2 linked regions of the Xenopus tropicalis genome follow. The protein of the gene in region 1 binds, or shares a complex with, the protein of each later gene. Links are inferred from orthologs where the notes say so. Each region holds a gene or a part of one and is shown on either strand. Other genes may lie near its edges.

Region 1 (15,224 bases):
AATAAACATACTTTTGGTTTTTGTGCAAATCTTTATGGATTCAAAACCTCTAAAACCACAAATTAATAAAGATTGCTACAATTGGCTCCCATTGGCTTCTACATGACCTTGAAAGCTTATAGATGGCGAATTTAGTTGTTTTAGTTTATTCATATGTTATTAATTGTGCATCTTTTACACTATGGCCCAAATATACATTTAGTATAAGCACCGGAAATCAACTTTGCGATTGTCTTCCTTTATTTATAGTTTTTGATTTATTAGCATTCCGCTTCTGCCTCATTTTAGCCGAATGATATGATATCTGGTGGTCAAGGGGTCGCTGACCCCATCAATCAAAAATCTTAACGTTTATTGGTAACAAAACAAATTTAACAAAAGCTGACATTTCTTAAGAAATAGAGTCATATTCCATTGTTGGAAGGAACCCTAATATTAATGGTAATTACCCTGGAAGTTAGGTCAGCGCTATGAATGCGGAGTTATAAACGAATAAAATAAATACTGTATATATTTGAGTATAAAGTTCTGTTACAAACTGTCCGTAAGCAATTCATTTCTGTAGTAAAGATGTTGTGCAGCCAACTGGTGTATACGGGATTAGCTAATGGGCTGATGATCATCGGCATACTAAGGGGCATATTTATTGTAGTGTGTAAGCCAATATCCACCGGTGATGTTGCCCATAGCAGCCAATCAAATCTTTGCTAACTTGTTCAAATCTAATTGCTGATTGGTTGCTATGGGCAACATTACCGGTGGATGTTGGCTTACACACTAAATATGCCCCTTAGTACACCAGTAACCGTAGGGGTACCAGGCAGTTGGCACACAGATGGCTGTACATTATAAAGTAATGGTTTCTCTGTGCAGTGGATGACATGTATGAGTCTGTAAACGACCGCGAGCTCCGACAAATCTTCGAGGGTCAGAACCGCATTCATCTAGAAATAAAGCAGCTCAACAGGCAGTTGGACATGATCCTCGACGAGCAGAGAAGATATGTGACAGCGGTCACCGATGAGATTGCCAAGAGAGGTGCCGGAGATGGAGCCGGAACAGGCGGCCCTGGTCATCAGCAACAGGTTGGGCAAGAGTTAAATGTCTCCAGTCATAGGGCAAGCTGGGTGGCCAGACTGTCATAAATGATCTGTTTATTTTACTGGGCGTCTTTAAGGTATTATCAAATAGGCCACCTAAACAATACCTTACTCAAGGGTAATCCTATTAATTGGCCTGGGGTTGTGATTCCTTAACAAAATGATCGCAACAGCAGAGGCAGTGAAGTTGCATGTATCCAATGAGCAAGCTTACTGCGCCCTCTGGATCTTGTGGCCTATAAGTCCCAGTATCCTTAGTGCAGGGGCAGGCAATTGGGCGCCTGTAACCTGTAAAAGTCAGTATTATAGATTCTGCTACAGTTCGTCCACAACCACCACTACATTTTCTTTACTCAACATATATTCCACTCATAGAGATTTGTTAACGTAGATGTTAAACTGGACCAGTGCAGTTCCACATAGAAACCAATCAGAAATTCATTTTGAGGAGTCTGTTACCAACTAGCTAGTTAAATCAAGGATCTGATTTGCTGCTGGGGACACTAATGCTACTTATCACCTATAGCTTGCCGAACACAGTAAGATCTGCCCATTTGGCAAGGTTATGGTCTGATTTGGCCTCCTACATTCTGGGGCAAATGGGCTAATCTGATATTTGCCCCTGGGCAAATGATTCGTTTTTCACAGAGGCCTATGCAGGCTTGTGGGGAGAGGACAGTATCAGTGTGCCAATAAGATTTTCAAGCCTGGCTTGTCTGAGAGGAAGTCGGGGAGGGCCCATAGAAGCTGCTAGCTTATTCTGAAGGGCCACATTTGCATCTTAATGCACATCAGCCACACAGTGTAGTTTTTCATATTCTGTCCTTTTTTTTTTAACTAAATGTGAAAAAATGGCTGCCTGATTACTGTTGCTCAGTCCCAGCGGTACTTGCACTAACTGCCACCTTTTGTCTTCCCCACTGAAGTTTGCACCTGCGGACCTGCAGTTCCTGCTCAGCACTCAGAGGGAAGTCTTACAGCAGATGGCGGATATGAGGTAACCAGAATACAGCAGTTTATATTTCTCTTATTCTCTGGGTAAACAATACAGTTTCTATATATGCATTGCTATTGGTCCGATGTCAGCCGAGGTAAAGGAATTTTGTGCTGCGGTTGTGTTGTTCTCTAGGGTAGTAGAATAAATCAGGGAGATGTAAGTCAATCTGCAATATGTGTTGCGGGGAAACAATTTGCAGTCAGCTGATGCCGTAAAGCTGGGAATTGAAAATGAACACCATAGGGAGTGATAGTGATAGGGAGCGCTCATTGTTTGGTATAAAGTGAGTCTACAGGGGGCATATGGCTCATCCATTCACAGTCACTGCAGCCCCAAGCTATTCCCACTGCACTTAATTACCCGGACGTTGCAGTTGCAGCGGTTGTGAGGGAATGGGGCGGGCTAGCCGGTGTGTCCATGCAACATCACTACTGATGTCGCAGAAAGGTTGCGATTAAAAAACCTGTGCGACTTGTTGTCCATCTCACTACCTAATGCATGGGCCGATGTCCAGGGAACTACGATTTTTATTAGTAACAGGGAAGCGCGGTGTGGAAAATGTTCACAGCAGTGATCATAAGCAACTGTCCTAGCCATCACACTCCATGTGGCTTCTCCCATAGGGCCACCTTGGTCTGAATTTTCATACTTTAGACTTTCATGGGGGTAATTTAAAAGGAACAAAAATATAAAAATGTATGTAGTATTTACACACAGACACTCGGGTGCTTAGCCCAGCCCATTTAATTAACCCTAACCATGCAAATCTGCCCCTTGGGATGTGGGTTCATGTGACCCCCTTATCCAGACATGCAGAAATCTTGTGCATGGGGGAAATCAGCAGAGTAGATCAGCGTAGGCATGCGGCCTGACCAATTAGATTAGCCGAAATTGGGCTCATGGTTATTCAAGGTCTTGAATGTAGACAAGTTCAAAGTTTAACCACTGTGTTACATCTACATATTATATAGTATCAGACGTGAGCAACCTGGTAACAGCCAAATATTGGGGAGGGTGCCCAGTAGGGATGCAACAAATCCAGGATTCGGTTTGGGATTCAGCCAAGATTCTGCCTTTTTCAGCAGGATTCAGATTCAGCCAAATCCATGCTGCTGGCCGAACTGAATCCCAAATCTTAAAATCAAGTGACTTTTGTCACATAAACATGGAAGTTGAAAATTTTTCGCTGCACAGCTCTCTTTAACCCTTCTGTATCCTAATTGTAAGCTCTTTTGGGCAGGGCCCTCTTTACCTCTTGTATCGGTTATTGATTGCTTTATATGTTACTCTATATGTCCAATGTATGAAACCCACTTATTGTACAGCGCTGCGGGATATGTTGGCGCTTTATAAATAAATGTTAATAATAATAATAGATTCATATAGAGTGTAAGCTCTTTTGGGCAGGGCTCTCTTCACCTCTTGTATCGGTTATTGATTGCTTTATATGTTACTCTATATGTCCAATGTATGAAACCCACTTATTGTACAGCGCTGCGGGATATGTTGGCGCTTTATAAATAAATGTTAATAATAATAATAATAATATATATATATATATTAGGATTTGGTTCCGTATTCAGCTGAATCCAAACATAATGCATTTGATGCATCCCTAGTGCCCAGGCCAGTTATACATTGTCTCATTACTGCACTCAATTTGTTGCCCTTAATTTGCTTTGCAGAATACTGAATATAAGCCAAATATTATACAGAAAGGTACATAATATACATTATATGCAATAGATGTACAGTTTGGGCACTCGCAGCTTCTGTATTGTGCCGTGGCCTATATAGGTCAGCTGTCTCCGAAAGATTATCTTTACTTTTGTTTCCCAGGGAATCCTTGGCATTAATATTCTTCACAAATCTTTATTCCTAAGGAAGCCAAATTAGATTTACCAGTTCAAGTCTCTCTTATTTAATATTGGTGATGCGCTTACACGACTCCCCTAATATGTTTCGGGCGGATTAAAGAAGTATTTGGGAGTGGCGCTTAGCAGGAAATTCCTAATGAGTCTTTGGGTTGCTCATATTTACATGTCCATCATCTTATTTTGCCCAGAAACAGCAGTCGTTTTCCTATTTTTTTTTTTTTTTTTTTTTTTTGCAGATTTATGGATTTTTGTCTTAATCTGATTACAGACTGGCCGGTCAGATATGTCAGTTAAGATTTAATAATCATTGATTATGTCTTCTATGCTTTGCTTAAAGATTTGGGATTTGGGAGAAATAGTAAAGTCTGTTGCCAATTTAAGTGCGGCTCTAGCTTTATTATCATTCCATTGTTCTTTTTGTTTTTTGTGAGATCAGAAGGGATTGCCTATACCTTAATACTGGGGAGGAAAATATCATCTGAAGGGCACTGAAACAACCGAGCAGCTTAGGGCAAGCAAAGGCATTCTTTTAGGGGGCTGCATTGGGGTGCTCTCCAAACAGGCAGTTATGGGGTGTTGGTTATGGACTTGTGTCTCTGCTTCCCCTGTCTAAAATCTGAGTGTCCAAAGCACTTGGAACAATGCACTCTTATGTTCTGTTAGGGTTGGGGGAACCCTAACCCTTGGTTTTTCTATGGCCTGTTCAGTTCTCTCCGGGACTGAAGTCCTAACAAACAAAGCCTCTAGGACCGCCAACCCCCCAGAGGTCAGTTATATAAATGGGACACCCCTATGTTTTGTTCTGGTTCATCAATGCGCGCTGTAAGTTTGCTGAAGTTTCTCTAGGTCCCCTGTCAGGATGCACCAGATCTGGTTTAGGATTTGGCCAAAGCTCAGATTTGACCCGACCCTTAGGGTTCACATTCAGTTTGACGGAACACGTATGGGCGTATTTATCAAATCTCCAAATAAACTTGCATTTAAAGGAGAAGGAAAGGTACAGGTACCTTCCCATTGCTCAATGTCTTTGGTGCTTCGGACACTTGCCTGCGCCGCCGATTTCCCAATGCTGCTGAAGTGTCAAGTACAAAAACTCCAGGGTTTATTTTTCATAGTGTCTTTTGCCAGAAGTAGAAAAGGGATTAAAATCCACATGATGATAAAGATTCTCGTTACAGACCTTAATCTTCTTTGCAAAGGGAAAATAAACCCCACTCGCAGGGACGACCACAGGACGAATGTTCCCAGCATATTGATTAAGGAGCACAGTTGATCCCTTATATGAGCACTTTACAGATCTCTGCAAAAGGCCCATGGCCTAAGGGTTTTAATTTGATTTTTTTTTATTGTAATGACAACAGCGAGGGCGCGTGTCCCGGCCGTACATATGGGAGATGAGTTTCTGTTATGTTCTATGTAATCTTGAACCTTAGCCCTAAATCTTTCCTTATCCTTAAGCCTCTTCATGTCTTGCAAAACTGTATTAATTTCTTTTGGAAAAAGCTCAGAATATCTGAACATGCCATTCATTCTGATGGAGAGGGCAAAATATGTCTGCAGGGAAGTGAATACAGGGCAGTCAGGGAGTTTGGGGCCAAATGGCTATATTGTTAGCAGTAGGAGCTCAGTGCTTGCTGGCTGAACCAGTGGTAGTAAAGGGCAAGTTTGCCAGTATTGTTGATAATGAATAATATAGATTGGAAGCTCTTTTGGGCTGGGCTCTCTTCACCTCTTGTATCGGTTATTGATTGCTTTATATGTTACTCTGTATTTCCAATGTATGTAACCCACTTATTGTACAGCGCTGCGGGATATGTTGGCACTTTATAAATAAATGTTAATAATAATAATATTTTAGGTTTTGTTGCCTTAGACTGTTCCTGATGGTCGGTATAATCCATTTATTATTTTGTTGCCATTTAGGAGCTCTATAAGCGAGACTGTGCGGCACGTTAGCGGAAATAAGCACCTAGGCACGGGGGGTTATGAGTCGACGCAGCACTTCAACGATATCAAGGAGCATCTCCACGTCGTAAAGAGGGACATTGAGCATCTGGTGCAGAAGAGCTTGGTAACGTTCGACACTCCGTCTGTCATTTCTAGTAGTATCTGTGTAGCCACGGGGGCAGCCATACAAGCTGGGAAAAAGGAGGAAAGGAACAGGTTACATAGCAGGTAGCACATTAACTCTGTAAAACACCATTATATTCTACAGAGTTTATCTGTTCGCTATTACGTAGGCATTTTGCCCTATGTCAGCTCGAATGGCTGCCCCCGTGGCTACACAGCAGCTTTGGTTATGTAAACTATAGTAGGATTTCTGAAGCAAACACATGGAGGGGAACAGCATATTATATTATAATTACTTTAATACATTAAAGTATTCAGTGGCCACACACTGTTCCAGATCGGCCCATGCTTCGCTATGTTGTCCCAGTCTGGATCAGATATCATAATCTGTGTCATGGCTGTGACATTTTTTTGTGAATATGTTGTAGCCATGACATTTTCAACAACTTTTTTTCCCACTAGATGTCTTGGGAATATGTCACTACATATTTTGGATTATGTCAGTACAGAGAATTTTTTTTTGCATATGTTCAGTGTCTTTTACAACTGAGAAGGCAGTGCAATTTGCTGTATTTTTGCATTTTGCACCCTGCCATCCTATTTACTTGAGTTGCCACAGGTCATTCTTGAGCACAAAGGCCTGCAACTGCCCCCATGAATACAGGGCTGCCTGTGGTTGGTAACATTGTATTCATGAAGGGAGGGAAGGAGGCACCATGTAGGTTGCCAGGCCCCCTAATTTGTGTTATTCAGATGTACAAGTTGACAATCAGCCACAACAGGCTCTTGTATATTATACCTGCCCTATGGTCTGTGCCATCACTGCTCTGATAAATCCAGTGCTAGGTGCAGAGCACAGCCAGGCCCTGGGCAGAAGTCCTCTCTGTACTAACGGGCACTTTTTGTTTTTTTTTCTCCAGCCACATGAGGTACAGAAGTGTCCAGAAGTGCCTCCATTTCCCTCCTGTTTAACCACAACCCACTTCTTTATATTTGTGGCTATACAGACAGTGTTATTCCTTGGCTACATTATGTACAGGTAAGTACATTTCACCTGAAAGCAAACCTCAAAAAACATATTTGAATTAAACTTTTAGTTAACTTTTCAATTGGTCTTCATTATTTGTTATCCTTTTTGAATTATTTGCCTCCTTCTTCCTTTGACTCTTCACAGCTTTCAAATGGAGATCATTGACCCCAGCAGCCAAAAAAGTATTACTCTTTGGGACTACAGTTTTATACATTTTCTGTTTAGATCCTCTCCTATAAATATATCCGTTTCTCATTCAAACCACTCCCTGGTTGCTAAGGTCATTTGGACCCTAGCAACCAGATAGCTGTTGAAACTCCAAACTCAAAAATGAACGACCCCTTCAGGGGTTCTGATGGGCAGGGCTAGGGGTCCCCTAGATGGCTGATACATGGTACCTGTAGGTGGATGAGGGGGCTTTCAGTGAATAGTGGGCTCTACGGCCAATGTATCCCCCCCCCCCAGGAACATGGCAGAGATATTTCCACTCGCTGACATTTCTATCCCTTTGTGTCTGGCAGGAGTCAGCAGGAAGCAGCCGCCAAGAAGTTCTTTTGATGACGCATTTGCGAGGTCTACGTCCGTCCGTCAGGATGCGCCAAGCGTACGTTTGTACACGAGGAACTTTTTTTTTTAGTAACGAGATGCTTCATTAGATTAAATTATTGAATTCTTGTGGAACAAAATGAACTTATTGTTTATTAGTCTCCGGCAATCGAAATTGGGCACAAAATGAAAACTTTTTTTTTTTTTTTAAACAAAACTTTTTAAACCCTTGTCCATTAAAGAGGCTCCATTTGTTTATTTTTATGAATTACCTGTGTAAAAATCTTCCTCAGGGCCACCAATTTATTTTTTTTTGTGGATTTTAAAGGGGAACTAAAGCTCTGAAACGCCTTTACTTCTATAGCTTAATTTATACCAGCTTCTATGCCACTTTGTATGAACAGCAACCCTATGCCAGCCACCCTCAGTATCAGCCAACAATATGTATAAACAATAATACCCTGCGGCCAAGGGCCTTGCCCCAGCTAAGTAACCAATAGGAGCAGTTATTTCAGGCAATTCAAGATCTGGGCATAGGGGTTTCTGTATAACCATAGGCCATTTTCCACTGACTAATGGGAAGCCCCATGAGTGGGCTTTTAGGGGAAGCTCACAGCTTCAGCCAATCAGAAGCCCCCCTTATGCTGTAATTCTACTCTACAAGCGTAATTTCCCTGTACTGATCTAGTTTAATTGAATAAAAAGTATTTTGCAGCTTAGAGAAGAAATGTTTTAGGGAAAAAATGTTATTTTTTATTATTAGTGCGGATAATTGGGGAAAGGATCAGAAATAAGCTTATGAGCATAGCTGTCCAACAGGGACGCAGGAGCAGCGACTTCCGGCTAAAGCGATACCGACACTTTAGGAAGGTGACACTGACGTCTTCCTGTAAAAAAAATAAATACTGTGGGAGGCGTCGCTGTCTGTTTAAATGTGGTGCAAATGTGAATCAGCCTCACCATCACAGTGGATCATTTTGTTGTGCAAAATAGGGATATTTGCCTCAAAGAGGTGATGCGAGAGAATGTTAGATGTAGGACAGACTGGCGCCACTTGGGCGACTGGCTGCCCCTTCCGGATGGTGACAATATTTGGAGGGCCCCCAGTTTCTCATCTGTGGCCCAAATAGAAACAAGACCACTACTGTCTTTATATATATATATATATATATATATATGATGTATGTATGATCGTTTCTACTCCTGAAATGCAATGTATCACCGTTTGTATGTGCATCGGCCTCCGCAGTCGTAATGTTGCCATAAACACCTTTGTGTTATATAAGCTGTGATCTTTTTTTAGTTTATCCTTAATATCTGATCATTCATATCTATGAGCCAAATTGTAACCTTGACTACGTTCCTGCTCAGCAGCCGCACTTTCCTTCCTGTCAATCATGTGACCTGCAGCAGTCTTTCCAACACTTGGATGTTGCTTTGTGGCAAAGAATCTCCCTCTCCATACCTTTGCTCAGAGTAGAAGGGACTGTACCAGAAACACTTCTTTAAGACCAAATAAAGTCACATCAGAGAGTGGAACAGGTAAAAGCTGCTTGATTTTATGAAATAGTTCAGCAAACAATATTATATTGATATCTCCGTCTGATGTTTAACTCCTTATGGTACTCAGTGTTGTTAAATTAGCCCTCATTATGTTTTGGGCCACTGAGCATGTGCAGTGCCACTGACACAAAGGAAGGCCACACAAGACTCAAGATGGGGAGCTCCAATGGACGGCTCTGAAGGCCTGGATCATTACAGTTTTAGGACTGTCTGCACCGTGGGCTGGTACAGTGAGGTCTGTTTATGGAATACAGTATTTCTAGCCAGAGTCATTATTAGGCTTTAGTTCTCCTTTAAGGAACACTGTTTTACCCGGATGTTCTGTTCTGTTACCAAAAGTGTTGTTATTGATGTTTGCTGCCTTAATTACACATTGTCCCATACCAGATGGTGCTTCTGTATTTTGTTTTCTGTAACGAGACCCCATTGGCTCATACAGTGCTTCGGTAAACACCATTTGGTCTAGAACCTTGTGGTTCCGTGACCTTATTACACGGGCCATTCTTTCCTCTCACGTTGCTACTTTTGTGCCACTTGTATAAACATTTACTGAGGATTTACCCGCTAACGGGGAAGCTCCTAATCTGATCTGCCCCGAATTAAAGGCAAAGCTCCTAATCTGATTTTGCCAGAATTAAAGGGAAAGTGTAATTAAATATTTGTATCTTTTTCTAAGTGCCTTATGAAGCTCCTCCTTATTTTACCCCTCGCGGCTTGAAGTCTAAAATGCTACTTGTACCAAAATGCCAATTCTCTGCTTGGTTTCTACAGCAGCCTGAGAGCTGCCCCTGTTCCCAACCGGAAGAACATACAGTTGTATCACTGGGCTCGGTTTCAATATGTGTGTCTTCTATTTGCCCTTCTACCACTGGGATGTGGGCAGGCCTTAACTGAATTAAGAAGAAAATGGGTGATGGTGACCTGACAGTCTAAAGCACAAACTCTGAGGGTACAGTGGCCTTTTACTGAGTCTCAGACTGCGCTGCCTCCCTACATATTGCAGCCAGCCAATCAAGGTGGGAGGAAGCTGTACTGGTACATAAGCACGGTCAGGCTGCAGGTGTTTTGTGACTTGCTGCCAGTATGGGTTGGGGGGTCTGGTACCCCTGGCCCCCACTGCAGCCATAGTTTACCCCCATTAGTTACACCACCCACATGTCAAACCAAAAAAATAATTTTTTGCCTAAAAAGAAAATATAATTCTAAGCAACTTTCCAGTATGAATATTTGTAAATGTAATTGCTATTGAAACTGTCTGTCTCCTCCGGCGAATCAAGTTTGTCTCCTCCGGCGAATCAAGTCTGTCTGTCTCCTCCGGCGAGTCAGGTCTGTCTGTCTCCTCCGGCGAGTCAGGTCTGTCTGTCTCCTCCGGCGAGTCAGGTCTGTCTGTCTGTCTCCTCCGGCGAGTCAGGTCTGTCTGTCTCCTCCGGCGAGTCAGGTCTGTCTGTCTGTCTCCTCCGGCGAGTCAGGTCTGTCTGTCTCCTCCGGCGAGTCAGGTCTGTCTGTCTCCTCCGGCGAGTCAGGTCTGTCTGTCTCCTCCGGCGAGTCAGGTCTGTCTGTCTCCTCCGGCGAGTCAGGTCTGTCTGTCTCCTCCGGCGAGTCAGGTCTGTCTGTCTCCTCCGGCGAGTCAGGTCCGCCTGTCTCCTCCGGCGAGTCAGGTCCGCCTGTCTCCTCCGGCGAGTCAGGTCCGCCTGTCTCCTCCGGCGAGTCAGGTCCGCCTGTCTCCTCCGGCGAGTCAGGTCCGCCTGTCTCCTCCGGCGAGTCAGGTCCGCCTGTCTCCTCCGGCGAGTCAGGTCCGCCTGTCTCCTCCGGCGAGTCAGGTCCGCCTGTCTCCTCCGGCGAGTCAGGTCCGCCTGTCTCCTCCGGCGAGTCAGGTCCGTCTTGTCTCCTCCGGCGAGTCAGGTCCGTCTTGTCTGTCTCCTCCGGCGAGTCAGGTCCGTCTTGTCTGTCTCCTCCGGCGAGTCAGGTCCGTCTTGTCTGTCTGTCTGTCGAGTCAGGTCTGTCTGTCTGTCTGTCGAGTCAGGTCTGTCTGTCTGTCTGTCGAGTCAGGTCTGTCTGTCTGTCTGTCGAGTCAGGTCTGTCTGTCTGTCGAGTCAGGTCTGTCTGTCTGTCTGTCTGTCGAGTCAGGTCTGTCTGTCTGTCTGTCTCTTCCAGCGAGGCAGGTCTGTCTGTCTGTCTCCTCCGGCGAGGGAGGTCTGTCTGTCTCTTCCAGCGAGGCAGGTCTGTCAGGCTGCTGCCTTGTGTTACATTATTTCATATGCCAGAGCCCCCAGGGCAGGGAATAGAAAGGACAGGCAGACACTGTGTTTAATAGCAATTATATATACAAATAAGTAAAAAAAAATATTGTAAAGTTGCTTAGAATTATGTTTTCTTTTATTAGGCAAAAAATTATATTTTTGGATTGACTTGTCCTTTTTAACATAGCATAGCTTTACTTACTAAATGTTTGTGCATCAGTTCTGCACCCTAAAGGTATAGACACATGGAGCTACTTAGTAGCAGCTTCTTGTCACGGCAACTAAGCGCCAGAAAATCCCTTGCCATAGACAATACTGAGAATTGCCTCTGGTAAACACACGTAGAGACAATTATCAGTAAATGATCAGCATTGTCTGTTTCTGTAGCCGTGACAAGTAGCTGCTACTAGTAGCTCTGTGTGTCTTTCCCCCAACCCTATGCTTCCATTTGCTCCTGTTTGTTTGCACCCTAATATACAGATATTGACATATGGCAACAACCCCTGTCAGTTAGTCATTCCCTTCATTTTGTCTGACTATCAGGTTCCTTTGCTGCCTCGTTACATTCATTTCCCACATCAAAATACTGGCAGTGGGACATGTTTGCACAGTTATTGCTGATACATTTTCTTGTTTATCTCCATCTCTGTATTTACTGTTTTACCGAAACGGCACGGTTCTGAGGAATGAATACTGTCATTTTTACATACAAATTACATAATTAAAATAATGCTGCTGAAAGCTTGGGGTTACGTCTCCTACAGAATGTCCTTTTGCGTTTGATTGTCAATAAAATCTGTTGTCCTTTGTCTCAGCTCTGAGTTACTCTCCCTTCTGTAATGGAAGGAAAGGGACGGCGCGTACACCCCTGTACAGATACATAGCACCCCCGGCTAATGTACACTCCGAGTTACTCTCTTACTATCCCTGATTCTATTGGAAGGAAAGGGACGGCGCTTACACCCATGTACAGATACATAGCACCCCCAGCTAATGTACACTCCGAGTTACTCTCTTACTATCCCTGATTCTAATCAGTATTGGAAGGAAAGGGACGGCGCTTACACCCCTGTACAGATACATAGCACCCCCAGCTAATGTACACTCCGAGTTACTCTCTTACTATCCCTGATTCTATTGGAAGGAAAGGGACAGCGCTTATACCCCTGTACAGATACATAGCACCCCCGGCTAATGTACACTCTGCGTTACTCTCTTACTATCCCTGATTCTATTGGAAGGAAAGGGACGGCGCTTATACCCCTGTACAGATACATAGCACCCCCGGCTAATGTACACTCTGTGTTACTCTCTTACTATCCCTGATTCTATTGGAAGGAAAGGGACGGCGCTTACACCCATGTACAGATACATAGCACCCCCGGCTAATGTACACTCTGCGTTACTCTCTTACTATCCCTGATTCTATTGGAAGGAAAGGGACGGCGCTTATACCCCTGTACAGATACATAGCACCCCCGGCTAATGTACACTCTGTGTTACTCTCTTACTATCCCTGATTCTATTGGAAGGAAAGGGACGGCGCTTACACCCATGCACAGATACATAGCACCCCCGGCTAATGTACACTCTGTGTTACTCTCTTACTATCCCAGATTCTATTGGAAGGAAAGGGACGGCGCTTACACCCCTGTACAGATACATAGCACCCCCAGCTAATGTACACACACTTTTCTAGAATATAGAAGAATCTAATGAGAAAAGAACTTCTATTGGCCGGTTTCGCTGTGCTGCCATGGAAATGTAGAATTTGGTGACCCATTGTGGTGCTTTTATTGTCTGTAAATACTTCCCATAGCAAGGCATGGCCACTGGCTCCAATGCTCTCTATAAGGGGTCAAATAACACTTGGTTGATCTTCTGCTGATATACCCACCTATGGGTGGGCGCTATCGGGCTAATTCAATTGTTTGCCCCTAGGGCATAGGCGCTGCCGGTTTGGGAGCGACATCAAACCTGCCTCATTGAGATCTGGTCGATTTTAGGTCCGATAATTTTAGGCCAGATATCAGTCGGGCAGGCCCCTCGTTTCTGCCCATACAGGGGCCGATAGTAGCTGCCGATATTGGTCACTTGGACCGATTCGGCAGCTTATCGGCCCGTGTAGGGGCAGAAACGAGGGGCCTGCCTGACTAATATCTGGCCTTAGTTTACATGTCCGTGATCTAAAATATAATAAATGAGGCTTCAAGCTACAACAGTAACTGATCTGTATAGTGTGGGCATCTCAAGATATACATCAATGTGAAGCTTATTGTACAGCAGTGGCTCAGGGCAACATGTTGCTCCCCAACCCCTTGGATGTTGCTCCTAGGGGCCTCAAAGCAGGGGCTTATTTTTGAATTCCTGGCTTGAAGGCAAGTTTCAGAGGCATAAAAACCAGGTGTACTGCCAAACCAGAGCCTTCTATAGGCTGCAGTCTACAAACCAAATAGCCAATCACATCCCATATTTGGTAAGCTTGTGTTTCTCTTCGACTTTTGTTACATTTAAATGTGGCCCATGGGTAAATAAGGTCGGGGACCTCTGTTCTATAGAGATCAGTTGAGGCTGTAGCTTGAAGTCTAATATAATAAGGCTGCATATGGAAAGTCTTTTTAAGCTGATCTGCTCTATGGGTTTATAGATCTTATGAACAACTTGGTTCATGTTTGACCTTGTGTAGGCAGTCATAGTTCTAGATCCACTGAAGGGTTGAATGGACAGTTGCCCTGATCAGTTGTATAACTGTGGCTATCCCAATCAAGTCTTTATATCATGGGGTACTTAAGGAAGGCTTTAAGTGTCCCAGCCACCCAGGGGCAGACTGGGCTGACGGCACTGGGGGAAAAAAACGCCAGCGGTTCTCACAAGCCCAGACCCGATCTCAACCAGCTCTCCTTAAGGCTACGGATCTCAACACACTGAAGGTAAGAATAAAGTAGGCACGCTTGGCGGTGGGGGTTAGGTGGGTGGCAGGGACCATTTGGGGGGGCCCTGTGGGCCCTGCATCACCCAGTCCAACCCTGCAGTCACCTCTCTCTAGTTACCTCTAAAGAAATGGCACTTTTGCCTTTGAGGAATGAGGATTCCTATCAAACTCCTGTCAAAGTTTTCCAAGAACTAAAAATTGTTCTTCAGAAGGAGGTCACAGCATCTGGTTTGGAGTGTAGTTTATTTTGTCTGCTCTTTAGGGTATTTCTAATTTGCACGTGAGATTCCTTGGGAGATTCCTGGGATCTAGAACAGGGATCTTCAACCATTTGTACTTGTGAGCTGGATTTCAGCATATAAAAATGGTATTTATTCCTACTTTTTGAAGGAACAGATTACAGAGATAGGTTTTTGAGTTGTGTGGGGCTCTTTAACATATTCTGGTTCCCCTCCATGAGAAATCTGTGAGTATGTTGAGATGTGAGCATCCCGAGGGCAGACTTATCAGTCAGTCGTCCCTATGTTACTGTATAACTGAGATGTCACGTGTTGGCCTTGGATCCTCGCTGCACCATTCCGTTGCCTGGGCCTCCGAGGAAAGTTCTTTTCTCTGACATGATCGCTGGTAATCTAGGATTACTGGATACCCTCAACCCCCTGGGAACAGAGAGTAATTTAATTAGAAGGCTGCTAATGCAAATGGTGGAATTAACCTCTTCTGACTAAAAATAGAGCAGTAATTTTCCCAGAAAGAGATCTGTGATTAACCTGATTGGAATGTGTTCCCAACATGGAGCGCTTTAGTCTCCGATACACAGAATGGTTCTGTGTGCAGTCAGTGAGTATAGCCATTTAAAGAAGGGGTCT
Region 2 (16,711 bases), on another chromosome or scaffold:
CCTGGATACTTGACTCAGATATCTGCAATATGTTTTGTGCAACTGGATAAAAGGCAGAATGGCAGTACATTTGCTTTTTTCATAAATTCATGAATTCCAGTCCAATCCTATTTTTTTGCATTTTGCTCCCTTCCTTCTAGGTTAAATGAATTGCTGTGGTTTTCTGCAATCCCTTCTGGTGCTCAGTCATCTGTGACCATCCCAACCTGTGCTTGGCAGTAAGTGGGTGGGGGGGAAGGCATGTAGGTGTCCATCATTCCTATCATGAAACGCAAATTAGAAAGCGGCGGTGGACATAGCGCCCGTGTAGTCTACAGTAAATGACCCTCATGCGGGTGCGTACCATAGGGTAAATTACCCTTTATGGTTTCAGCATGACCCTTCAAGACCAGATACATATTATGATGAATGACTAAAAGAACAGAAAGAACACTTAAAATGAACAATACTGGACCAGAGACCCAAGGGCTCACCAGATGATTTAACCTCTAGGGTCCCACTGGCACCAACCACCCCTACTCCCCCTGCTATCGCTGCCACAGACCACCGCTCCCTATTACTGACCACCCCTCCTCTCCTTGCTGCTGCCACAGACCACCCCTTGCCTCTAGGGCCTGGCGCTCACCTACCTGGCCCTCCTTCCACCCACACGCCCATGGCACCCTCTCCCAGCTACTCCTAGTAAGAGGGGACTTCTTAGACCTATAGAGGAAGCAGAACCAATGGTCCAGGCCACCCTGTGCCCCGGGCTCCCCCCTCCTCTATAGTTATGCCATTGCCAGCAGGATTTTTTCTGGTGCCCCAGTGGGTCGGTCCAACACTGCTAATGTACATTTAGGATATAGAATACAGGGCACAATTGTGCATGTTATACAATCCTAATCATATTCGAGTGGAGCAAACACCACTAATTGGGTTGGCAGTCTGAGCATTCTAAAGCTGGCCATACACGCACCGATAATATCGTACGAAACCTCGTTTCGTGCGATATTCGGTGCGTGTATGGCATGTCGGTGAGTCGACCGGTATCACAGGAAGCTGCTGAAATCGGTCGACTCGCCGATCGGCCAGGTTAGAAAATTTTGATTGGGCACCATAGAAGGCGCCTGACCAAAATCTGCCGTCGGCTGAATCAGCAGAAGGAGGTAGAAATCCTATTGTTTCTACCTCCTTATCTGCTGTTTCAGCCCTGAACGGTGTGTGGCGGATCTGACGATGTTTGGTGCGACCAATGGGTATCCTTCTGTTGGGCAGTTGGAGCTACAATAAATCAGAGTTTAAACCTACTTGAGAAAATCACAAGCGGGTTAAGCAGGATCACTAGAGTAGTCATGCCGACAATCAATATTGCTAATAATGCTATCATTATGTTATTTTCATGAATCTTGGTTTTCCAGACATTTTAAATCCACTTGAGACATTTTTTGAGCAATTTCAAAGGGAAAAAGTCATATTTGAAAATATCAATCTACATACCTAGATAGTGATCGGGCCGGATGAAATATCAAGTGATGGCTACATTGATGCATTTTTCCAGAAGGGTTTGCACAGGCCCCCCATTTGGTTATCTGGCAACATTGCCAGACTGCTGAATCAACTACCCATGTATTACCAGATTAAGATTGTCTATGCCAATATAATGACAGCATTCTGCGTAGAAATTTATAACGATGTTTTAGTCCCTCCTCCCCTGCCAGGATTTTAAACTATACAGAAAGAGATGAACTGTTTTGCAGCTGGATTTCAGCATATAAAATGGTATTTATTCATACTTTTTGAAGAAGCAGATTACAGTGATAGGAATATTAGGGGTTTCTGTGTTGCTCTTTAACAAATTTTGATTTGGAAGCTGGAGTTTCCCTTCAAATCAATTTTCCTATACTATGGAATCACACATGAATTACTTCAGCCAAATTCCATGTTTTTCTTTACAGAACAGTTTTAATGTCATCCGATAACAAAGGTTGTGTTTGTTTTGTATCTCTCAGTTTTAAAGGGTCACGGTGAATTAATAATTAGCCGCTCCGGGTTTACAACATTGTGTTCTACGGGTCACACAAACACACTCATCAGTCCTGCTCTTATTTGGTGGTGGTTTCCTTAGATATCTGTAGATATATGGGCAGATGAATTATAAAATAAAAGAAATGGAAATTCCTATTATAGGTACAATGATTTTCTCGGACTGGAACAAGGCAGTGGACAAGGGCTTATCCCTCCTGTCCTATGTTCTATGCAACAGACCTTCAGTTCACAGTGGGGTCCGAAGGAGAGGGGGCCTGGACCAGTTAGTACATGCACCCCTCCCCCTCTGCCCACACTGACTATCCTACCAGCACCCATGCATCATGACCCAATGCAGCTGGGGGCCCTGAAAAACACCTTAAACCACTATTTATAAACACAGATCAGGGGAATATATTTACATATATGTATGAAGAGGAGCTGCAATACTGATTGCTTTGCAAAGGAATTCTTCATAGATTTCCAGCGATTCTGCCATCACACAATTATTAACACAAAGGCCAATACTCAAGCATAAATAGCATTTCCTGTCACATTATAGAATCATCTTCCACTGTTATACATTCAGTACTTGAGTTTTTCAGCTGACACCCTTATTTATACCCCCAATGGGGGCAAATCAAGGGACATAGTCAATGTGTAATGGGGTCTTGAATTTAAGCATGTTATGGGGCAAGTACCACACAAACTTAGTTCCTAGTACAACATAGTTTGATTTATTTGTAGACATTGATCATCAATGTGTATTTAGAATCCTTGCCATAAAGCAGTGATCCCCAACCAGTGGCTCGGGGGCAACATGTTGCTCACCAACCCTTTTGATGTTGCTCCCAGTGGCCTCAAAGTAGGTGCCATTTTTAAATCTTTGGCTTGGAGGCAATTTTTGGAATCCCAGAGACACAGTTTTACCCCAAGCAGAGCCTCCTACAGGCTAGCAGTCCTCATTGGACAACCAAATAGCCAATCACAGCCCTTATTTGGCATTACCAAATAACTCTTTTTATGCTTATGTGGCTCCCTGCATGTGGATCACAAGTAAAAAAAAAGGTTGGCGATCCCTGCCATAAAGCAAGACAGGACTTCTAGTTTTTTCACATGAGTACCAGTAATCAGATTTAGGGTAAAAAAATGTGATTATTTAGGCAAATATCAACACTTTCTATTTCAACAACTATAACCCTTTCACTAAACTGTAATCTTTTTTTTTTTAAGGGGAATGTATCATTCTATGGAGGCTTATCGGATGACCTCTGTAATATGGTAGCTTTCAATCAGGTGTAAATGTAAACATAAAACTAATTCATCTATAACCTTTAAATGTTTCCAGTAGGAGAAGTCGATTCTGTATGGACTACGAGAAAACCTTTAGGAGCTGCCCTGCTATAGAGACTTCCATTAAGAGTGAGTACGTGAAGATTAAAGACAAAGGTCTGGCTGAGACAGATCAAAGCTGCAGGATTGTTGGGCAAATGCCAAGGCTCAGTTCGTTTGTTCATATTCATTTGTCTAAATGTTTCTGGACTGTGTCTTGGGTCAACTCAAGAACCCTTGTTGGTAGGACGCCATCTGTATTCCTACTATACAAAGACATCAAAAGGCTGCGCTCTATAAACTGAGCAGACGGATATCAGACATTTTGCCTTCTCAGTACGTCCTGTTACAGATGGATCATTCTGTGTTCCAATAACCAGCACTTGAAGTCCGTGTGTTTATTTTAAGTAACAAACTAAAAGGGAAACTACACCCCAAAAAAAGAAATGATGTCCAATGAAAGTAAATATAATTCTAAGCAACTTTCCAATATATATTCAGTACAAAGGTTCAGTGTTTTTTAAAGTTATTTGTAAACGTGATAGCTATTGAAAGTAGTGCCAGTTTATTCCTTTCTTTATTCTGGTTCTAACTAAAGTCATAAAGACATAATCCAGACCCACAACCCGGACCCACAATGCACATTTTTGCCCACTTTGACCCCTGAGCCGCAACTGCCAACCCATTCCACAACCCACTGACCACCATCAAACAGAAAGTTTTAAAAAAATGTAGAAGTAGAATATAGATAATATAGGAGGTTTAAAACATAAATATGGAAAAGATCCATGACCCACATCTATACCCGAAACTGAAAATCCAACCATGCTTTTCTTGTGGGTAACCCGTGGGTACCCCCCCTGCTGCAGGCCTTTAGTTCTAACTCTAGAAACAGTATACTGGAGTCCATTCACCTCCAGGTATGTTAGTAACAAAGGTGTTTGTAAAGTTATTGTTATTGAATTGCATTCTCTACACTCATCGCTCCTCAAACAATGTAGCAAGAAATCAGCTAATTAACAGACGTGGGGGTGAACTGACTCCCGTTACAGTCAGGCCCAGAGAAAAGAAAGGGACAGATAGATTCTGATTCCAGTAGCAATTACATTTACAACCACTGAAAATGCCTAAGGATCGGATAGAAGTAAGTTGCTTAGAATGACTTTTTCTTTCGTTATGCAGAAAAAAATATGGGTAAGGAGAAGCCTTTATTTGATTTTTGAGAGATGTTTATATTACTGCACATACCGACGGTGGAAAGCAGCGGCAGCCTCTGAATGGACAATGGTGACATCATACTGAACAGGGACACCCCCAAACCCTGGTGTGGTTCCTGCCACAGTAGTCACTGCTCTTAGTTTTTTAGCATTCTCTGGAACTCAGAGGTGATGTCTAATATACCCATTAAAGTGTAAAATTTTAAATGGACAAAATTAAAAAAATTTCAATATAGTTAATTAAGCAAAAATGTAATCTATAAAGGCTGGAGTGGGCATATGTCTAACATAATAGCCAGAACTCTACTGCCTCCTTTACAGCTCTCTAAGCTGTTAGCAGTCAGTAGCCAATCAGTGATTTTAGGGGGGGCACACGGGACATAACTGCTCAGTTAGTTTGCATTTGAATCTGACCTGCACGCTCACAAACTAACTGAACAGTTATGTCCCATGTGGCCCCCCCTAAAGTCACTGACTAACAAGAGGTTAGAGAGCTGTAAAGGAGGAAGTAGTGTTCTGGCCATTATGTTAGACATATGCCCATTCCAACCTTTATAGATTACATTTTTGCCTAACTAACTATATTGCAAACATTTTTCATTTTGTGCAGTCTGTCCAATTTAGCCAGTTTCATTTTTACACTGAACTGTTCCTTTATATGTTACACAGAATAGTTATGTTACAATGGCCCAGTCACACAACCTCCCTAAGCACTGATTATTACTTACGACATCACTGAGCGCTGTTCATAAGGATATATTTTAGTCTGTTCATAAGGATATATTTTTAGTCCCAACACTTGCATACCCCCCAACTGTCCCGCTTTTCACGGGACAGTCCCGCTTTTTATGGCGCATCCCGCTGTCCCGGATAGTTCCATGAATGTCCCGCATTGCGGGACATACATGGAACTATCCGGCACAGCGGGATGCTCTTGCTGGAGCCGGATGTTCATGCTTCTTCTGCGGCTTCGTTATGCCTCTCCTTGTGCAGCGCGACAGGCCCTTTTATAAGGTTGCGCCTGTGGGTGTGACGTCATTACGCATGGGGCGCAACCTTATAAAAGGGCCTGTCGCGCTGCACAAGGAGAGGCATAACGAAGCCGCAGACGAAGGCGTAGCGCCTATGGGAGGTACTGTGTATGGGGGGATACTGTGTATAGGGGGCACTGTGTATGGGGGACACTGTGTATGTATTGGGGGGTACTGTGTATTAGGGGCTACTGTGTATAGGGGCACTGTGTATTGGGGGCTACTGTGTATAGGGGGCACTGTGTATGGGGGCTACTGTGTATGGGGGGCTACTGTGTATGGGGGGCTACTGTGTATGGGGGGCTACTGTGTATTGGGGCACTGTGTATTGGGGGCTACTGTGTATGGGGGGGGCAAAACTGGTACTTAGTTATAACTCACTTATAACTGACTGCCTTCTCTCTATATTTGTATTTTAATGTAGGAGTTGCTGTATTGTTTTCCTTAGGTCGTTCAGTATGAGGGTATAGCACATTATTGTCTGCTCCCGCCATTTGATGTATAAAAGGAGTATTTTTTTTAATGGGGTGTGGTAATTGGGGCGTGGCCACAAAAGGGGGCGTGGCCAAAAGTTATACACTATACTAGTAGCATATACTGCAGCTGATATATACTAGTATTTTTACTAGTATTTGCTACATATACTAACTCTATAACTGCCAAGCACCACACGATACATATATGTAGACAGTAAATATCCCCCCCTCCTATGCCCCTTAACATGTGCCAGTCTGTTACTATTTGCAGTTTGTTAGTGCAGACTATAAATAGAAAAGACATCTAAATACATAAAATAAAGGGCTTTATCTACAGTATGTAAGTGTGCTTGTTAAGCCATGGCGAGGCTTTCTTATTTACACCCTGAAGATGAAATAACGTGAAAGATGGAAACACTGACATATCTATTATTGTACAGTGCCACTCAGCATTAGATTCCAGGCTGCGCAGGCGCACACACTCAAGCATACACTGAAGGCATTAACGATAGAGCGCCGAGTGACAACTCTTTGCCAGGTAAACGTTTATCGCTCACTCCAACTCTGTTCTCCATTGGTTCGGCCTGCAGAGTGGGCCACGGCTTGAAAGAACGCTAAGAGGGGCGGGGCTTGTATTGGAGCCGGCTGAGCTGTATACTTCGGAGGAGCTGAGTGAGCAGGAGAGCGGCTGGGACGGTGAGTGAGAGTGGGGCATATCGTTATGTATACACTGCTGGCTCTGTCTGTGCTCAGTCAGACCCACCAGCATTTGTAATCGATTCTTTCTGCACTTAGGGACTTCCTTCTCCCATAAGCCTTTGCAGCGTGTCCTGGCAAACTACAATTCCCAAACAGCTTGATAGGGGATTCTGGGAGATGTATTACAGTGTTCTATTGGGGTTACTATAAACCTTTGTCCCTTGTGCTGCTCCAGAGTCTTTTGGGGAATGCTGGGAACTCTGTTCCTATGTGCAACAACCGGTATGTAGAACTGTCAATGAGTTGGGGGGGGGTGAAGAGTAAATGACTATAATCCTTGGGGGGGGGGGGGGGAGTAAATGACTATAATCCTTGGGGGGTGAAGAGTAAATGACTATAATCCTTGGGGGGAGGAGTAAATGACTATAATCCTTGGGGGGTGAAGAGTAAATGACTATAATCCTTCGGGGGTGAAGAGTAAAGGACTATAATCCTTGGGGGGTGAAGAGTACATCACTATAATCCTTGGGGGGTGAAGAGTAAATCACTATAATCCTTGGGGGGTGAAGAGTAAATCACTATAATCCTTGGGGGGTGAAGAGTAAATCACTATAATCCTTGGGGGGTGAAGAGTAAATCACTATAATCCTTGGGGGGTGAAGAGTAAATCACTATAATCCTTGGGGGGGGGGAGAGTAAATCACTATAATCCTTGGGGGGGGGGAGAGTAAATCACTATAATCCTTGGGGGGGGGGAGAGTAAATCACTATAATCCTTGGGGGGGGGAGAGTAAATCACTATAATCCTTGGGGGGAGAGTAAATCACTATAATCCTTGGGGGGGGGGGTGGAGTAAATCACTATAATCCTTGGGGGGGGGGGGGGGTGGAGTAAATCACTATAATCCTTGGGGGGGGGTGGAGTAAATCACTATAATCCTTGGGGGGGGGGTGGAGTAAATCACTATAATCCTTGGGGGGGGGTGGAGTAAATCACTATAATCCTTGGGGGGGGGTGGAGTAAATCACTATAATCCTTGGGGGGGGGGAGAGTAAATTACTATAATCCTTGGGGGGTGGGAGAGTAAATTACTATAATCCTTGGGGGGGGGAGAGTAAATCACTCTAATCCTTGGGGGGGGGGGGGGAAGAATAAATCCCTATAATCCTTGGGGGGGGGGGGGGAGAGTAAATTACTATAATCCTTGGGGGGTGAAGAGTAAATTACTATAATCTCTCAGTGTTTTCTTTTTATGCTTTCAAATCTCCCCAGAGACATGAAGTTGTGTCCATGCACAGTCTCTCTCCTGCTCTGTAGTGTGCCTGGGGGGTGGAGCTCCCAGTGGCCAATAACAAATGAGCTTCCACCCCTGAAACCCTTCATGTATTTCATTATAAATATACAATCTGTTGACTCCAGAGACCTAAAACTTCCAGCGACAAAATTGCCCTAAACGCTGGGACTTACCGCTACGGTCAGTTTTGTGCTATGACCAATGCATCGTGACTGTTTCATGAGTCGTATGCTGCCCGGCTATGAGTTTGATATTTAGCACTATTTTGGCTACATGTATAAACATATATTTTCTCTTTGGTGATAGTTGTTATCCTTATACTGTAATTAGCCTGGCTCATGTGTGTTTGTGGGGTTACGCCTCTCCTCGAGGCACAGTACGTCGGCGTGTGTGGCAATAACAAATTTGACTCCATTTTGTTCCTCCTTTACTTTGCCTGTGCATGCACACTGAGGAGCTATATACTCCTATATCTGCACTCTGTGTCTCTGCACTTTAGTGCCAAATTCTAGTCTGGCCCAGCACTGTAGGGTAACTTGTTAGCTCAAACAAACAACTTAACAGATGACTTCAAGAATGGGTGTCGTTCATGTAACAATAGCAATATTCAATACTTACCAGGGATCTCCACCCAAAAACTTTTACCCAATGAAAGAAAATATTATTCTAAGCAGCACTTTGCAACGTAAAGTAATCTCTGTATATTCCTTTCTGAGCTCCGGTTCCGACTCCTGAGGCAATGTAACTGGATTCTTCTCCAGGTCTGTTAATCAAGCTGGCTTCTCATACATTGTTTTAAAGCAGTGAACCCCAACCAGTGGCTCGGGGGCACCATGTTGCTCACCAACCCCTTGGGTGTTGCTCTCAGTGCCCCCAAACCAGGGAGTTATTTTTAAATTCCTGACTTGGGGGCAAGTTTTGGTTGAATAAAAACAAGATTTCCTACCAAATAAAGCCCCTGTAAGCTGATAGTGTGCATAGAGGCTGCCTAATAGCCAATCACAGCCCTTATTTGGCTCCTCCATGAACTTTTATGGTGCTTGTGTTGCTCCCCAAGTCTTTTTACATTTGACTGTGGCTCACGAGTAAGAAAGGTTGGGGATCCCTGTTTTAAAGGAATACTGTCATGGGAAAACATGTTTTTTTTTCAAAACCCCTCAGTTAATAAAGCTTCTCCAGTAGCCGATCAGCAGAACAATGGGAAGGGAGCAAGATAGCAGCTCCCAGTAGGTATCAGAATAGCACTCAATAGTAAGAAATCCAAGTCCGGCTTGGGACTCCTCCAGTTACATGGGAGTAGGAGAAACAATAGGTTAGCTGAAAGCAGTTCTAATTGGCAGAAATGGGCTCCCCTGCTTTAAACAAAAAGTTTGTTGAAGAATTACATTTTGACACATTGGCCTAGGTTGCTCTCTGCACTGAGATTTTATATCTGCGTTTTTGTATTTATGTACGTAGCAATGCCATCATGGTATTCACACCCAAAAACTGCATTGTAACATGAAACACTGGGAACACTGGTAGAATACTTGGGATTTACAGAGCAATAATGTGCACAAAGAACCCCCTGCAGTCTGTAATTACGCACACAGTAGTACAATTATTGCTTTCTAAATCCATAACTGGCTATTGTATTGTAAGGTTACAAAGTATACACTGCTGTTAGTATTTTTTACTATAACTGTGAATTGAATGTAGAAATCGGGGAGGGTATACCCCAACGGCAGGTAGTTACAACCAGATCTTCCCCTTGCTGGATAACACATTATGTCTGCTAATGAGTTGGGAATCATTAGCTAAAACAAATTTAGCAGCTTATTCTGTAGCTGGCGCTGGCGCTTCCCCAATGCAAATGTTTATTGTTTGACTCTAAGGTTAAGCTATGTTTTACACAGCTTGTGTAACCTGCCATATGACTTGTCTAGTTACCCCCAGGTGATTGCAGCACAGACTGGCATTGTAAGATGACTGTAGTAATAATAATAAATTGGCTGATTACATCTGCCCTCTGCCCCTGCACGTCTACTTGAACTGTAACTCTAAGGAGAGTTTCTGGGACTTGTAGTTCAATGACTATCAGCTGGAACAAGTTTCCATTGCTATTGAAAGCGACCTGTGTCTGTTTATATTTTCTGCACTATTAGTTCTCGCTCATGAAAAAATGTAGCAGAAGGCAACTGACTAGTATATCTGGAGGAGCAATGACTTAGCAACTGCTATAGCAACTATCAGAGTGAGCGAACAGAAAGGGATGATTGGGCAGCGCGTTTGGTGTTTGTACTGAGTGACACACTCACAGTCAGTGAATCCACAGATACAGTTCTAATTATAACTCTCTGTTCTAGTAACAATTTCTATATCTGATATTTAAAGGGGAAGTTTCCTCTTAAGTTTAGTATGTCAGCTAGACTTCTTTCTTGTTTTTTTTACTTATCAGCCCTCCTATTCTCCCTCTTTCCATACTGCAGATTCTATCTAGGTCACTGACCCAGCAGCAATAAGTAAATAAATAACTGTTCAACTTTATTTTTGTTGTTTTTCTTATTTTCATAATCTTTCTCTCCTTTCCATATTCATTTCTGACTTCCATGCTACTGCCTGGTTGTTAGAGTAATTAACAGGGCTGTGGAGTCGGAATTCCGACTCTCTGACTTGAGCTCCTTAGATTATGGCACCTCCGTTTCCAACTCCAGGTACCCAAAATTGCTTCCAACTCATAAATCCTACCCAACAGCCTTGGCAGGGCTACGGAGTCCATACATAAATCCTTTGACTCCGATTCCTCTGTTTATGGTACCTCCGATGCCCCAGCTCTGGTAATTAAGCCCTAGCAAGCAGACCGCATTTAACCTTTTATGCATCACTCAATTAGTATGAGTGTTGCCTAAACAAGTAAAAAAAAAAAAGAAGACTAACATCTATATGTGATAAACGTATTCCCATGTGCAGTGCCCATAGAAACCAATAACATCAGCTTTTAAACAGTACCCCAGTAAATGTTACCATGTGATTTGTGGTTCTTACAGATGATTTTACAATTTACACTTTTTCCCATTTTAATATATTAGCAGTTTTACACTACTGATACCTTTATTCTGACATTACAAAGGGGGCGTGCCAAGCATGAGTATCAGTAAGCATCTCAACGTCAGTAGTTGTGCTGGGGTGGGGGGTCAAGGTGGGACTGGCAGTGAATACATTCTACCACCTGCCCATGCTTCTTGGGGCAATTGGTCAAACTGAACCTGCCCAACCCATGGGTAAACTCAAGCATAAGTAGTACATATTATGCCCTTCTATATTGTTGTATGTGTTCTGAGGATGGCAGCTCTGGTTACTATCAGGCCTGGACTGGCATTCAAAATAGGTCCTGGCATTTCAAGTACACAGAGGCCCAAATAGCCCCCCCAGCCCAATAAATAGTGACTGTCTATGGCATCGTACAGCAGCCCCTCTGGCATTTGCCAGAACCCACAGATTGCCCGTCTGGACCTGGTTACGATAGTTATGAACATTCAGCAACTGGAATGTCATCCAATCATAAGCCCAGCTTATCCAAAAACGAGACCTGCGCAATTTCTCTTTACACCATTTTTCTGTAGGGCCTTTTTTATTAGCAGCTTTAGGAGATTTGCTCATCTGAGCATCAATGGCCGCTCCCATTCATTTAAGTCAACACGAATATATAAAGTGATCATAAACATTCTTGGGTTCGATTTCAGGGTACTGTGAGTGTGGTTTGTAGGATCTTCTTGTGCACATTTTTAATGATGATAAAAAAACAATTCCTTTACATTATTAAACATTGTTTTAAGATTATTGAAGGTGACAGAGTGAGTCAGCAACAGTGGTGAAGGGTGGGCATTGCCTACTGAGGTCTTTGTAGTAACTGTGCTGATTGTTGTTGTACTTGTCTTTATTACAGAAGCCTGAGCACCATGGCTGCCCAGAGAGCCAGTACGTCATCTCTTCTATGCTGCCTGGTTGTGTCTGCCTTGTTATTCATGTCAGCAGTAGCTGAGGACCATGTACACCCCCATGTAGAAGAGGGGAACCATGGGGCTCGCTTTGGAAAGAGCGTAGTGCAAGACAAAGAGTAAGTATCGCTCTACTAAACATTTAGGAAGGTTCATGGATCATATATCTTCCCCTGCAAACAGAATGCCCACGGGCTGCTTACATATTGTATTATAGCACTGACATACTTGTAGCTGAACTACAACTAGTTTGCTAGTAGTGATCGCTTCAGTAATCCAATGCAATGCAAAGGGCTTTCCAACGGTGACTTCTGTTGTTGCCGGTGGAAAGCCTTTTTGGATTGATTACTCGCCCACGATAGCAGAGATCTGTCGCGGGCAAGTAAGTCACTCCGTGGGTTCTTATCCTAAAGATAGCGAATGGGGTATTATATTTATAATATATTATGTTTTATTATATTTAGATTGTAAGCTCTATGGGGCAGGGACCTCCATCCTCTTGTCTCTTTGATTCTTAACTTATTGCGAATGTACCTTGTATTTATTGTTATACTTTTTATTTATCTATTATTATTTTATTAACCCCCTGTTTGTATTAATCTATTCTACTGTACAGCGCTGCGTACATAAGTAGTGCTTTATAAATAAAGATATACATACATACATGTAGTAATATGAAGAGAGATTGTCCCAGCTCACAGTAGGGTTAAAGTATTAGCACTGCTGCATTCACCCTATTATAGTTAATAGGGAAAACAGATAACTATTATTTTCCAAATCCCATGGCTTTCGGGGTGGTTCCCTTTATTGGCTTCTTTATGTCCTTCTAGTGCAGGGCTTTCCAACTGGTGTCCTACCACCATTAATGGGAGGTCTTAAATGCTATTGTGATAACATGGGTGTGGTTTGAAGTGGGTGCAGTTTTTAAAAAAAGGGGAGTGGTCAAAACTGGTTCAATTATCAACCCTCCACCATGTAGGCCAGAAAAATTCCGGCCCTCAATACCACAGAAGTTGGACAGCACTGTTCTAGTGGATGGGGCCCTCAACAGCCTGGGGCCTTGGCTGCTGCAAAAAGTGGAGCAGTTTTGTAGAGGTTTGGTGCAGGTTAGAGTGCAGAGGGGGCATGATCGGGTGGGTAGATGGTGTGCCACAATTTTTGAAGACAACCCTATTTCTTGGCAGTGTTTGTTTAGCTGCTTTTGAGACTGCTTCATTTGATTCTCTGTACTCTTCTGCACTCTGCAGCCACATCATGGACCATTTAGATGGAGTCATTGAGAAACCAGAGGCAGAAATGTCACCCCAAGAGCTGCAGCTTCATTACTTCAAGATGCACGACTATGATGGCAATAACCTACTGGATGGGCTGGAGTTGGCAACTGCAATTTCCCATGTACATAAGGTGAGTATGCCGTAACGCTCTAATGGCATTATACATTAGATATTCTGGCTGAGCCATTAGGAAAGATTACTTTTCTGTTCTTTAAAATTTAAATCTAAAAACCAAAGATGCCATCTGTGTTACTGAATTATACAATATATATTCATTTGTGTTTTTGTGGTCATTGCTTTAAAGGAGAAGGAAAGGTATGATACTGGGGGTGCCAAAAAGTTAGGTACTCCCCATTGATTGTAACCACTTACCTGATGGTGCACCTGTTAGCAGAAAACCGCTCCGGTCTGGGTTACCTGTGAGCGAGCGATCCTCTTCCACTTATGCATGTTCCATAGCATGAAAAGCCAAACCTTTTCTTCTCTTATTAGTGCCAATAAAAAGAAATCTGATATACACTCTATGGGCAAACTGTGCCTAGAAGCAAAGTCAGTACAAGAACTATTTGGGACATAGGGAGTTTGGAGTTTAATGGTTGACTTTCCAAGAAAGGCAGCACTGGCATTCTTCCCTTCTGTCCATTCATGAACCTTATGTCACTGCCTAGCAGCCAATAAGATAAGCCCTTCTAAGTGAGGGGATGTGGTCTGAGTATTCTCAGTAGCAAAGAACACCAGCACTGATCAAACAGGAAGCTCATATCCACTGAGATATCAGCCAGAGATTTACAAATGGTGAATATACCCTTTAAGGCTACAACATACAATGGCACTGGTGACAATTCCATTCTGTCACAAAGCAAGGTGGTACAGAATGGGTTTGCTGAGATGGCTGACCTCAGCCCAACTGAACCCCAGTTTAAAGGAACTGGATTGCCAGCTGTGAGCAAGACCTGATTGGTGGAAGCAAACCCTACCAAAAATGTTCCAACATCTAATGGAAGCCTTCACAGAAGAGTAGAGGCTGTTATTGCAGCAAAGTGAGGAACAGCTTCATATTAATATCTTTGGTTTGGAAATAAGATGTTGGTCAGGCAGGTGTCTTTTGGCTTGTATTTTTGGTTTTAATAGGCACTACTTGGTTTATTTATTCAGTACAATTAAGTGCCTCTCTGTCTATTTGTTGAGTGTACCAGGAGATTTAAAGCTTGGGTGTTTATCTGGTGACTGTGTCACATTACTCTACCGTAGGTAATTCTGGGCTTAGATATCTAATGAATCTGAGCTCCTTAAACCCTTTTTCCTGCTTGTAGGTTTCTCACTAATATCCTTCCTGGGTACCTGTAGGTTCTCCTAAATGTTTCGGTTACACATTTCTGTTTCTCTTTTGGATACTTGGATGCTAGAGGGTTTATCCCTCAAGTCTAAAACTACATTTCAGCTTCCTGTAATACTTTGATGAGTGCTTCATTGTCGGCTTTAACACTGAAATCCATAACAGTTATGTGAATACATTGCCCCAAAGCCCAGCCCTTAATATAACATCACTAATAATACACTGTGTTTTTCAGTCTACCGAAGAACCAACTCAGGCGATGAAGGAGGAAGATCTAATCAGTTTAATCGACGACGTTTTAAGGGATGATGATAAAAATAATGATGGCTATATTGACTATGCTGAGTTTGCCAGATCACTGGAATAGAAACTGTGAATTTCGCTTTTTGTTTTTGTATCAAATGTGAGTTTGTCCGTACCACTGCTGTCCATATGGGCTTCAGTCATTTAGATGTGTCGGCATTCAGCATCTACTGTATATGTTTAATGTATGTTTGTTTGCTGAATGCCAAGTGACAAGGTAAATGTTTATTTTTGTGTTATATTTTGTGATATTTATGTATAATGCCATGCAAGTCCCCCCAACCCCTCCCACCTGGCTCCTATAGGGCCTGCTTGGCACCTCATTATTTTTTAAACATTTTTCCCTTCCATTGGGGCTATAGGCATAAACTTCAAATCCAAAATACAATACCTAAAAGGAACTATATATATTTATTTTAAATGCTCAATTCATAGCCATTATTAGTGTAATAGCTTTAGGAGCTGATTAAAAAAAAGGCACTGACTATACACAAGTAACATTATAATGAATATTTCACTTTTATGATATACAAGTTCATATTTGTTCCATTAGTTCTACTGCACTGTAACAATTGTAAGGAATTTTCAGCTTTGTTCAGGGATATCATTTATATAATATATATACCTGTGTATATATATATATATATATATATATATATATATATATCATTTTCACCCCCTTCAAAATATAATTTTGACCTGCATAAATGCAACCTGCAAGTACAGGTATGGGACCCATTATCCAGAATGCTTGGGACCTGGAGTTTTATTATGTCTACTAAAAAATTTAAACATTAAATAAACCCAGTAGGATTGTTTTGCTTCCAATAAGGATTAATTGTATTAGTTGGTATCAAGTACAGGTACTGTTTTATTATTACAGAGAAAAGGGAATCATTTAACCATTAAATAAACCCAATAGGGCTGTTCTGCCCCAATAAGGGGTAATTATATCTTAGTTGGGATCAAGTACAGGTACTGTTTTATTATTACAGAGAAAAGGGAATCATTTAACCATTAAATAAACCCAATAGGGCTGTTCTGCCCCCAATAAGGATTAATTATATCTTAGTTGGGATCAAGTACAGGTACTGTTTTATTATTACAGAGAAAAGGGAATCATTTAACCTTTAAATAAACCCAATAGGGCTGTTCTGCCCCCAATAAGGGGTAATTATATCTTAGTTGGGATCAAGTACAGGTACTGTTTTATTATTACAGAGAAAAGGGAATCATTTAACCATTAAATAAACCCAATAGGGCTGTTTTGCCCCCAATAGGGGGTAATTATATCTTAGTTGGGATCAAGTACAGGTACTGTTTTATTATTACAGAGAAAAGGGAATCATTTAACCATTAAATAAACCCAATAGGACTGTTCTGCCCCCAATAGGGGGTAATTATATCTTAGTTGGGATCAAGTTCAAGCTACAGTTTTATTATTACAGAGAAAAAGGAAATCATTTTTAAAAATTAGAATTATATGCTTATAATGGAGTCTATGGGTGATGGCCTTCCTGTAATTTGGAACTTTCTGGATAATGGGTTTCCGGATAACGGATCCCATACCTGTACCTTCAATGTGTCACTAAACCCCTTTTGGATTTTATTTTATCCTTATGGTCAGAGGGAATTTTATTCAATATAAATTTTCAACTTTCTTTCTAGGGAGAACCCGACACAAAAGGACCCCCCCACCTATGAATGTTTACACACAGTCATCCCAAAGGTCTTAAAAGGGAAATGCCATTACTGTAAAAAAAAAGCC

What was found.
Region 2: the proteins of lman1 (region 1) and mcfd2 are in contact, whole or in part, in a cryo-EM structure (PDB 8JP5), measured with the Homo sapiens proteins. The link is inferred for Xenopus tropicalis from reciprocal best matches to the Homo sapiens genes LMAN1 and MCFD2. Residues at the interface, in NP_005561.1 of Homo sapiens: His43, Arg44, Arg45, Phe46, Tyr48, Lys49, Ser51, Phe52, Lys53, Pro55, His56, Gln59, Ser60, Asp61, Val64, Pro65, Phe66, Trp67, Lys96, Phe265, Glu273, Lys279, Glu280, Ile281, Glu285, Lys286, Tyr289, Glu292, Phe293, Phe296; in NP_001164977.1 of Homo sapiens: Val59, Ile60, Asn61, Lys62, Gln70, Glu71, Leu74, His75, Phe77, Lys78, Tyr82, Asp83, Asn86, Asp89, Gly90, Leu91, Glu92, Thr95, Thr98, His99, Val100, Leu111, Glu114, Leu117, Ile118, Ile121, Asp122, Leu125, Asp129, Lys130.

The regions. Positions count from the first base shown.
Region 1 is NC_030677.2:201,343,821-201,359,044, forward strand, and holds the end of lman1 (protein ERGIC-53 precursor), read left to right. Parts: intron 1-873; coding exon 874-1,085; intron 1,086-2,026; coding exon 2,027-2,097; intron 2,098-5,897; coding exon 5,898-6,045; intron 6,046-6,964; coding exon 6,965-7,083; intron 7,084-7,595; coding exon 7,596-7,632; 3' UTR 7,633-10,553; downstream 10,554-15,224. UniProt on the Homo sapiens protein: Mannose-specific lectin. May recognize sugar residues of glycoproteins, glycolipids, or glycosylphosphatidyl inositol anchors and may be involved in the sorting or recycling of proteins, lipids, or both.
Region 2 is NC_030681.2:20,173,249-20,189,959, reverse strand, and holds the start of mcfd2 (multiple coagulation factor deficiency protein 2 precursor), read left to right. Parts: upstream 1-6,682; 5' UTR 6,683-6,756; intron 6,757-7,012; exon of another isoform or gene 7,013-7,027; coding exon of another isoform or gene 7,028-7,041; intron 7,042-11,978; coding exon of another isoform or gene 11,979-11,991; coding exon 11,992-12,149; intron 12,150-13,277; coding exon 13,278-13,434; intron 13,435-14,875; coding exon 14,876-15,007; 3' UTR 15,008-16,711. UniProt on the Homo sapiens protein: The MCFD2-LMAN1 complex forms a specific cargo receptor for the ER-to-Golgi transport of selected proteins. Plays a role in the secretion of coagulation factors.